2 linked regions of the Caenorhabditis elegans genome follow. The protein of the gene in region 1 interacts with the protein of each later gene in a pairwise test. Each region holds a gene or a part of one and is shown in the gene's direction. Other genes may lie near its edges.

Region 1 (5,902 bases):
GAGAGTTTTTTATTTAGTATTTATGTAATTTGCGCGTGGATCACGATTTACTACCCTCGTTTCTCATTTCCCTTGATTTTTCTCAAAAACCCTGTCGTGAAAATGTCAAAACCCAGCAGAAAGGTAAAAACGAAAATAGGAAATTGTAAGTTTCGCGAGGTAATTAAAAAAAAAAATTAAAGGACGATCCGTTCTTCAAGTGCTATGCACTGCGGATCTGGGATTCAGGTACACTGCCTGGTGGTGATCCCTCTGGGCTGTAATTTAAGCCACGTCCTAGCCGGGGACTGTGGCCGATAATCCTGTCGTGGATTGCTCCACTTCCCAATAGAGGCTGGGTAAACCTAGGGGGTGAGGCCGGACTTGAACTCGTGACCTCCAGACTGCTAGCGGCCACCACTACCGACTGAGCTATCTGCCCCCTCGCATTTAACTAAAATGCAAATATGCTCACTGGTGTGAGTGTCTAAACAATAAGTTTATTCATAACTGTGAAAAAGATAACCTCCGTGAAAAATTTTCTATATCCTACATACAATAGTTTTTTTTTTAATTTATTATCGTTTTCGAGCTAGTAGTCAATTTTTCAGTTATTTGGCTGAGTGTCCACCATAATATTTTTTCAAAAGTTTTTGAGTTTGTAACTATAATTATTAAACAAGTCTTGCAGAACATTCTTAACAAGCTGTACTTCACACTTTATTGCTTTCACTGTACCGTTTCACCATTCAATTTGGGAAGCGTTCGATCAAAAAGTGGTGACAAGGACACCCATACATGTACACCTTATACACTGCAATGGCGTAATAATTATATGAATCGTGTAGCTGCTGGAGGTTATCGAACAAAAAAAACAGGTTTCAATCCTACTACCAAATATGATATGTTCTCTTCTCCTCTATTATCACTATTATCACCCATCATCATGTATCATTTTTCTCACTTTTACGTCAAGACCATAACCGATTTATGACTTCTCAACGCTGATTTACAGCCAACCTAACGGAAAGTATTCGGCTATAAAATGATCAGGTATGTGTGTACGTGTGTTGACAGGAATGAGTTATCAGTGTGGTGGAATTCGCAGTGAGGAATACAATACAAACATGGTTAAATCGAAAATTTCCTGGAATTTTAGTGCTAGCTGAAGATGTTTTAAGTGCCCTAACATACAGTTTCGCAACAGGTCTTTGATTCTGATCTAGTACCGTTATACTTAAAAACATAAGCGGTAGAATAGGAATAAAATAATTATCATTGGTTTTGATGATAAGAACAGTTTTTGTTTCTTTGCGTGTGCACTTTCACAGCTCGGCAACCCCACATTTGTGACTCAACGTGTTTGTGCAAAATGAAATGTTCGATTTTTTCTACATTAGTTTTTTTTTGAAACTTTAAAATATGTTCTTTCTAACTGACGTTGAGATTAGTTCATCCCCTTTTTAACTGACGACTCAATTTATAAAATAATAACTTGCATCACCATATTATCTCTGCATAATTAAAAATGTTTCTTTTATAATAGTTTTAGTGCAGGTTTTCAGTTCTTTAGAGAATATCATCACAATTTAATTAGGTATCCCAGAATTTGCGTTAGAAAAGGAAATATAATTATTAGGAGAAAAATAGATTTTTCAAAACTTCAAGTAAGGTCGTTTGACGGCGACAATCCTTTTTCTCAATTTTTCAGCAGATTTGTTGCAGATTTTTAGTACTTTCTGAAAATAATTTTAAGATCTCAGCCAGATTTAGTATTATGGCAAATATTATTTTTTGGCGATTTTTTAAAATTTTCTCAAAATTCAAACGTAGAAATTATATTTTTCTCCGATGTTTCAAAAAAGTTTTTTTAAAACAATTTGTTTTCATCTTTTCTCGAATGTTTTTTGTAGTGTTGTTGACAATATATAAGTTATCCGAATGCTCTCTTGTTAAATTAATAAGTGCAGGGTAAAAAACTGCTTATTTCAAGGGTTAAATTTTGTGTTCTGGTTAATAGTATTTTAAACCCTACAATTTCTTTTTGCCCTATTCAAAAACTATTGCAGTTCAAATCGAAACCTTACACTTCATGAAAGTTTAACTAAACTGCGATGACCAAAACAAACATTTTGCATATTATACATTTTGTACGCCGCAACACATCCCAACTCAAATAACTGATCAAAACTTGTAGAGCACTTTCCGATACTCCTCTGCTCGAGGACATGATCTCCCCAGACTCGAAATTTGTGGGTGAAGCTCTCGAACAGAAGGATGTTAGGACTGTATTTGTCTCGGCGAAGGAAGGTTGGAGTCTTAATTATCTTGAGAATTTTACTGTTTTTTTTTTCAGACAACGAAGAACGCGAAAACCGGGTAGTCTTATTGTTAGGACCAACAAGTTCTCAAAAGTCAGAACTTATCGATTTTTTGTGTAATTATTTTTATGGAGTGGATTCAATGGATCAAAGGAGATTTCACATTTCCAATGAAGTATTACAATTGTAATATGAAAAAGTAAGTATTGAATTGCAGAAATTCAACTCGGAAACTCCTACAAAACCTGTACAGTGCTATATTTTTAACGAAACAAAAATGTCGGTTCGTCCTGTAATTCTGGATATGATCGCGTGTGGAGATACATAGTAGGTTTTTTTTTCAAAATTGGGAAAAAATCATAAAAGTTGCAAATTCCAATGAGCATAATAAATTATTCTTAGAATTAATGTTAAAACAAGAAATAGGATATCTACCGACTTTGGGTTTCTGGTACAAATTAAAATTAAATTAAAACTAAATTGGCCAAAACTTTACCATTTTCTTGAAACTTAGAGCAGTGTCAAATGTTCAAACCCAGTTATGTATTTAATGTACTATTGAATGTAGGCTCTTATTGGGAACAAAAGGACCGTCCCTCTAAGTCCCTCATAGCAGTCATAATCAAATGTACAATTTTGCTGTGGCGATGGAGAGGTCCATGTCATTTAACCACTGTCTTCTACCATTAGGCCAACAACAGGTCGTAAAATCTCGACTTGTTATCTGGTCGTAAATCAAAGTAAATGTAAACAGGACTAAAAAGAACTCTTCTTGTTTTATAAGGTGTTCAATAGTTTTTGGGGTTTCTAGGGACCTTACTTTTAGATTTCTATAGGTTTTGAATTCATTATTTCGAAATTATATGATTTAAATTATCGGCAACTCTTCTGTTCAAAATTCTAAAATTGCAAAAATTTTAATTGTTGAAGATTTCATAATAGGAGCATAGCTTACGTTTTGCATTTTCTCAGCCATTTTTTTGTGTGTTTTTTAACACTTTATTGAAAATCTTATACTATTTTGTTTTTTTTTAAATACGTGATAATCATTTTATTCCTTCCAGATAAATGATCCTAGTAGTTTAAATAGCCGTACGACGGGTGTTTCTTTTTACAAATTTAGCCAGAACTTGTAAAATCCTCCTCTGTTAGGAGCTTTTATGATGATAATATCTGTCTACTTTGGTTAATCTACTAAATTAAAAAAAATACATAATGTATTTCAATTGTTTATTGCAATGTATTTCAAAATTTTTTAACCACTAACTTTACGAAAAATGCAGAAAACTCTTAAGACAGTAATTTTTACAGTACAAAAAATATACAACTTGGATTAAAAAAATACAATAATAATTAAATTTCAGTGATGGTTTCGATTCGCCATCTTTAATACATAAATGGCTTCTTAACAATTGGAAGATGAGACTGGACGTTATTGCAATTGTGTTCTCACAGTTGCACAGAATGAGCATGCACGAAGAAGACGAACTGCAACAGGTATCTAGAACTTGACTTCAGATCCTACTTTCACATTTCCAGGTTCTCTCCAATCTTCCAGAACATGTACGCAACAGTATTGTTGTGTTCATCACAGCGTCCGACGGCTCCAGAACTTTCGAGCCTCTTTTACGAAGATTCGGTTTATCAGAGTGTCCCAAGTTCACTATCAACACGTCTTGTACATTTCAAAAACAAATGGGTGAGTGTGATTGAAATTTTTGTATTGATTCAGCGTTTGCATAGCTTTCTCGCGCCGTGTTAAAAGTTGTAAACAGACCGAATAGTTTTTGGCATTGAGTGCTCTCGATAAGAATTATCACTTTCCATCTCTCTCCATTTTTCGCCCTCTTTTCTCGTAAAACGTGACGACCATTTAAATCAAACATTTTCGGGCTGGCGAATCGCTAGAAAAATAAACTGCCAATCCGGCGATATTTGTTTTTTCCTGTACCTACCAGTGTGGGAATTGCAAAGAAAACGTTCTAATAATTTCAGAAGATCGGCTGAATGACGAACATCGGAGGAGATATTGGAAAATGTCTGTAAATCAATTCGATTCTTTCATGGAGAAAGTACAGGTACTTTTCAATGGCACTTTTTTGCCTAAATAGGAGATATTTACAATTTGGACCTGGTATCTTTTGAAGGCTTGAAATTGTTTGATTTCTCAGCCAGCTAATTGTTCAAAACTTTCAACTGATATGTAGTTGATAATTTGTAAACAAAAGTGGAGTATAGAAACGTTTTTGTATTGCCTCAAAATACTCATAATAGCTCCCAAAACCTATCGTGATGAAACATTGCAAAAAAATTCACAACTCTTTTTAACTTAAAGGTGGAATAGCGCCAGTGGGGATTTTGTCTAAATGTACTTAAAATTACCCGAAACAACCGAATATCATAATAATACACTCCAAAAATTTTAGGTTTTTCGTAATTTTCAGTCAAAGTTTTGGCAAGTTGTCAAAATTTTCAAAAATACGAGCTTTTGAGGAAATCCAAAGCAATTCCGCATGTTTCGACACCTCCGATGCTTTCATACAAAAAATTTAAACAAAATTAAAACATAAAAAATGTCGAAAAAAAATTTTTTTTTGGTCGACTTCCAAAAATATGAATGGCAAAAACTGAGTAATTTCCACTCTTTGACAGTACATAAAAAATTTTCAAAAAATGTTTGAAAAGTTTTATCATGATATTTGGTCATTTTGGGACCAAAGGAGTGGTTTTTAACAATTTCCAAACAATATTTACTTTGTGGATAGTGGTACATTTTCAGCCAAGAAGTATTGCAATTTTGGTGTCTAAAAACTACTAAACTTAAGAAAATTTTTAAATTTCAGGAAACCACCCCAATCACAATCTCGGGTCTCCCATTTGTGGATGATGGTATCTATGGAGTTCAGGAGTCTGGACAAAACTCGTCAAGAAGCAGTGTTTACTCCTCTAGCAAGTAGGTTGCAGTTCTTTTTTTTTCATTCCATTACATTTCCGCTTTCATAAACTAACACTCATTCTCACTCTATTATTAGATCCACAGTTATCGAAGTGGAGCAAAGCTCGAGGCAACAACAAGTTGGCCGACCGACGGAATCACCACCTCTACCACCTCCCCCACTTCCACTATCCAATCCACCTGCCAAACCAACACCCCCACCTCCACCACCAAAGCCGACAATTCGTCCGCCACCTATTCCGGCATCTCCGCCTCCAAGACCGCCGGCAAGTGAGCCTGTTGGCATACCGCTGTACAGTGAGAAGCAGCATCAACAACAACTTCGTCCAACGACGGCCGTCTCGCCGCCAAAGCCTCCAAGTTTCGCGCCGCCTGTACCGCCTGCTGCTGCTCTAATCACTGACACTTCGACCACCACAAACGCTCTAACAAACGCCATGTTCGAACAATTGAAGCAGTCTAGGTATTTAAAAAAAAAAAACTTTATCAGTATACATATAGACCGTACTAGAATTAACTAACAATGACTTTTTTGTTTTGAATGAAAAAACTTAAACTTTCCACTCAAACATTGAAAAGAAGATAGTAATTTTGTTGCTTTCAAGCTTCTATCGTGGGTTTGAAGCTCAAATGCATGTAGAGAAAA
Region 2 (4,608 bases), about 13 Mb from region 1:
TTAATAATGTGGTTTTCGTTCTTCCTGATGGAGTGCTTGCTGGTTTTGACAGCAACTTTTTGGAACCTATTTCATTTTGTTGCGCGTTTAGTTTAAGGATGACGATTTCTGTCTGAATTTATTACAATTATCTGATCTAGTGGCACAAACTCCGGGAGATCAAACACACACAATAGAGAAGATTAACTCATCAGTTTTTGTGTGCCCCCCGTCCCTTCAAAGCTTTATTCCAGCTTTGTTTTATCCAACATTATTCACAAGTGCCAGCCTCTAATATTCTTCATTTCTGATTCTCATCTCTATTAGCCAATTTTGTTTGACTCACACGTCATTTGATCCATTAGCCAAGTTGCCACCTCAAAGGACATTTCATTGGATTAGCCATAATGAATAATCTCCCAAAAAACTTTAATGCTCCTCCTCACATCATCTCAGTCTCTGTGCCATGATTGTTTTCTTCTATCAGTTGTCTATTGCTGCTAGCCTGGAGAAGGTGTGTTTGATTTGTTCTATAATATGGGAACGGAAATCAATTACATTACTCTCCTCCTGTTTGTATTATATCCAATCATTTTCTATATTACTGCTACAATTTTGGGTCACTGACTCATTGCTGAATGTGATAGCTTAAACACGTGACACCTTTCTTGGTGAATCCACCACAATTTTTCTTCAAATCTATGTTGAGTAATCGGATTAATCTATTACTCGGTTTTGAATGCTATGTTTTACATTTTTTACTATGGTGCAAAAATTACCAAATTTCATAGAAAAAGTGTTTTGAAAAATTTTTATTGACAGTCGGAAATACTCAGTTTTTTTTCCATTTTTTGAAAAAAAAAACTATAGCCATGTTGCATATTCAAATCCCTACAATGTTTTAATATTATTACTTGAAACATACGTAGATCATAAAATTCAAAAGAAATTTTTTTTGATTTTTATTTGGCGACTTCCAAAAAATGGCAAATATCTTTTTTTTTAACTTTTCGAAAAAATAATTTGAAATTTTTAAATTTTGAAAAATTGAAAACTATAATACTTTGTACTAACCTAGCCATGAAAAATTGAATGTTGCACATTTTGACTTGCTACTTTCCTCCATTCAATATTCATCTGAATTCAAAATAGTAAAGCATGCAATTTTGGAATTTTAGACTGGTAAATGATGCCGCTCTCAAGAATTGTCTACTCAAAGGATCCAGGAAGAAAAATAAGAAATACCCTTAATTATTAACCGGATTTGGTCTTTGGGAAGATCACACTTTCTTTGTGACAACCTATGTAAAAATTCCAATTAGTTTCATCTTCTTCACTCATATTCAAGTATTCCCAAAGCGCGAAATAAGCGAATGATCAATTGTTTTTTGTTACTCATGTTATTCTAAGTATTACTCATTTATTCATGATCATTAAGAGTCATAATTGTAATAGAGCACTTTTGAATGAAAATCGTGATTTGAGATGTCAAAAATACACTTTTTCACCTCCCTCGATAATTTCTATAATTTTTCACTACACGTCATTTCCCACTTCCGCTCATATCATTAGAAAACCAAGCGGAGACAATGACTTGGCGATATTAGCATATCCCTTAGTTACAAATTCCAAGTTCCATGATTTCACACATATTTATAAATTCTGATTTCGAATTCAATGAGTCCCGAATAATCCGGCATTTGAAACATTGTGCTCCACCCTTTGTTTACATATTCATTTCTTTCTAGCTCCATTTTTTGTGGCCTGTGTGGCAGAATTGTGCGTACCCAGAGCATTTTGGATAAGGTGCAACAAATCAAACATCAACCTTTCAAAACCCCTTAATCCTGTTTTTGATTACAACACAAGTCTCGAAAGTGTTGTTAGCTCAACCTTTCGCCCAATCTCATCCCATAAAACATATAACTTTTGGTATACATTTGATTGGCTTTGGCAATTCCCGGAAGAAAACGCTTTCAGACTTTTGATTCTTACCGTATTACGTTCAATGTTTTTCTTTCCGGAAGTGTTTAAATTTTTTCCTCTGTCCCATTTTCGTCATGCACGAACACCAAGAAACCGTAGTTCAGTTGTTCAGTTTTGTCTTGCATTTCCCAACGGCCCTATATTTTCAAAAAAAAAGGTTATTTCTTAGAAACCACTCAAAAGTCCAGCCCATTTTTTCTCCTCTAAAATTGCAAAAAATTGTCAATTTCTCAACACTCATAAGCCCCGCCTTCCACGATTTCGCATGGTTTTATGTTTTCCCTAAATTGTACTTTTCATATATTTCCTGACATTTCAGACATCAACTTGAGGCAACGATGAAAGCCACATTCGTGCTGGCATGTCTTCTTGTGATAGCTGCTGTTTCCCATGCCGATCTCCTACCAAAACGAATGGACGCAAATGCTTTCCGCATGTCGTTTGGCAAACGTAGCGTAAGTTTGACTTTTTTTTGAAACATTTCATGAAAATTAGCTTCAGGTATCCAATCCAGCAGAGGCAAAACGAATGGATCCAAACGCTTTCAGAATGTCCTTCGGGAAACGATCAGCCGAGCAGAATGAGCAAGCTAATAAGGAAGACAAAGCGACATCCGACAAGCTCTACGACGACACCAAATTTGAGGAGATGAAGCGCATGGACGCCAACGCTTTTCGCATGTCGTTTGGAAAACGCTCGGTACGTTGTCGTCGTCTTTCATTGCGACCCTAATTAGTGCTGGTGTCTAGTTGCTCTTTTTCCAGGATGCTCATCAAGCCGCCGATGATCAGGTCGAGTACGTGAATGATGACTTTTCACTCCCTGAGCAAAAACGTATGGATGCCAATGCGTTCCGCATGTCGTTTGGAAAACGAGTCAACTTGGATCCAAACAGCTTTCGAATGAGCTTTGGAAAGAGAAGTGTACGCAGAATCCGATCATCAACATTCCCCTAATATTCCATTTTTTTTTCAGACAGTCGGGTACAACTTGGACGCTCGGAACTACTTTGTCGGATTGGGACGTCGTTAAACTCCAGCGAACATCAAGCTACTTTCATCCCAATTGCTTCTTCTTAGTCCCAAATATGATAACACTCTTTCCATAAAATCGTTTTTGTGCAATAAATTGATTGTATGGGAAATACATCGAAGATCTTTTAGCTAATAAAATGTTACAAAAATTGCCGTTCAATAAGCTTATAGACCTTTCCAAAGAATACAATTATCAGTAAATGTTCCGCAACTGATGCTCCAAAACTGGATTTTAGGATTATAACGAAAACTTCTGACTGGCTCAGGTATCATGCTGCCGCTACAATTTTTTGCATTGTTCTCTAACATAAGACTAATGTCTGATATCTTGGTGAATATTAGACCTGTGAGAAAATAATTTAAAGCCATTCAAATTATGCTAAAAATGAACAAGTATCCCAACAAAATTTAATTTTGGAAATATTTTTTTCTTGTAAAAAAAATGGTCGACCTGATTTGCGCATTTTTTTGAGAAATCTGAATCACTGCCAAATATTCTAACCCTGCAATGTTTCAGTATGAATATTACACACTTCATTAATTGAACCCAAAACTGGACGAAATTTCGATTTTTTGAACGAAGACTTTAAAAAATTTTAGCAAATTCAGTTTTAACCAATTTTGACTAAAAACATTTTTCAAAATTTTTATTAATTTGGTCAATATAGGAATTTTTTTTAATATTATTTTCTCACATGCCGTAGTCCACTTTTAATCAGAATATCCACAGCAAAAAAGCATCTTCCTAACAGGATTAGTTATCAGCTGATATGCCGACGTGCACTTTGACAAAAAGTCAAGAAGTGACGATAGTGATAAAACACAAATGTAGGTCAATATGGTCACGACTGGAATGTGAAACATTATAGGGACAGAGTGTGTTAAGTTATGAAATTTTCCGTTTCCTCCGAATTTGATAACTGCGTTTATGTCGATCAACTCTGCGTCACTTTAGGGGGAGGACACAATTGAAATTCATTAATGGAATTTTTGATAAGAAACATGAGAGCCAAGTGTGATAACACCGTTTTCTTTTTTATTATCGATTTTGACACTGATTCCGTATTCTGAGAGTTTCATCAAAAATCAAAAAATTGCAAAAATGGCTAGAAAAACCATTGATTCGTAAGTTCTCTAAACTAATAAATAAATCATTACTCCAACTTTTTGCAGAATTCCAGAGCCAATTGCTCTTCCAACAGAAGAAACAGTTCAAAAGCGCATTAAACTGAAAATGGTGGATTTGGATGCAGAAATAGCGAAATTGAACGTACAAGTGCGTAATGTAATAAAACAAAAATCACATCATGCTCTTTCCGCTTCTGAATACATAATTGAGATGTCAAAAATGCCAGCTTGGAAATTGTTTCTTTTTTAGTAAAATCATTGACGTTTTTAGATGAAACCATAAATAATTGATTAGGAAAGAAACAAATTTTGGAAACATTAGTTAAAAATAGGGGTGCGCGGACATTTTCAAGCAAAATTAGTGATAGAATCTAGGGAATTTTCTCATTTATCAAAAAGTTTTTTCATTTCAGCTGAGAAATGTAGGGAAGCCACAAAAACTGTCGGTAAGCTGGAAGTTGCCTCCGTTTTTTTGGCAATT

What was found. Proteins that work in one complex are often made in the same cells at the same time.
Region 2: the proteins of tag-343 (region 1) and nlp-1 interact in a two-hybrid assay, tested with the Caenorhabditis elegans proteins (one large-scale study listed by BioGRID).

The regions. Positions count from the first base shown.
Region 1 is NC_003284.9:16,671,038-16,676,939, reverse strand, and holds the start of tag-343 (RNA polymerase II-associated factor 1 homolog), read left to right. Parts: upstream 1-2,207; coding exon 2,208-2,289; intron 2,290-2,335; coding exon 2,336-2,475; intron 2,476-2,517; coding exon 2,518-2,627; intron 2,628-3,664; coding exon 3,665-3,797; intron 3,798-3,839; coding exon 3,840-3,999; intron 4,000-4,295; coding exon 4,296-4,378; intron 4,379-5,143; coding exon 5,144-5,253; intron 5,254-5,332; coding exon 5,333-5,719; intron 5,720-5,902.
Region 2 is NC_003284.9:3,725,290-3,729,897, forward strand, and holds nlp-1 (Neuropeptide-like protein 1), read left to right. Parts: upstream 1-2,284; 5' UTR 2,285-2,303; coding exon 2,304-2,420; intron 2,421-2,466; coding exon 2,467-2,664; intron 2,665-2,729; coding exon 2,730-2,888; intron 2,889-2,940; coding exon 2,941-2,997; 3' UTR 2,998-3,157; downstream 3,158-4,608. Other genes in the region: t-SNARE protein aex-4, read left to right, coding at 4,102-4,124, 4,173-4,275. UniProt on the Caenorhabditis elegans protein: In AWC olfactory sensory neurons, required for the detection of preferred food sources.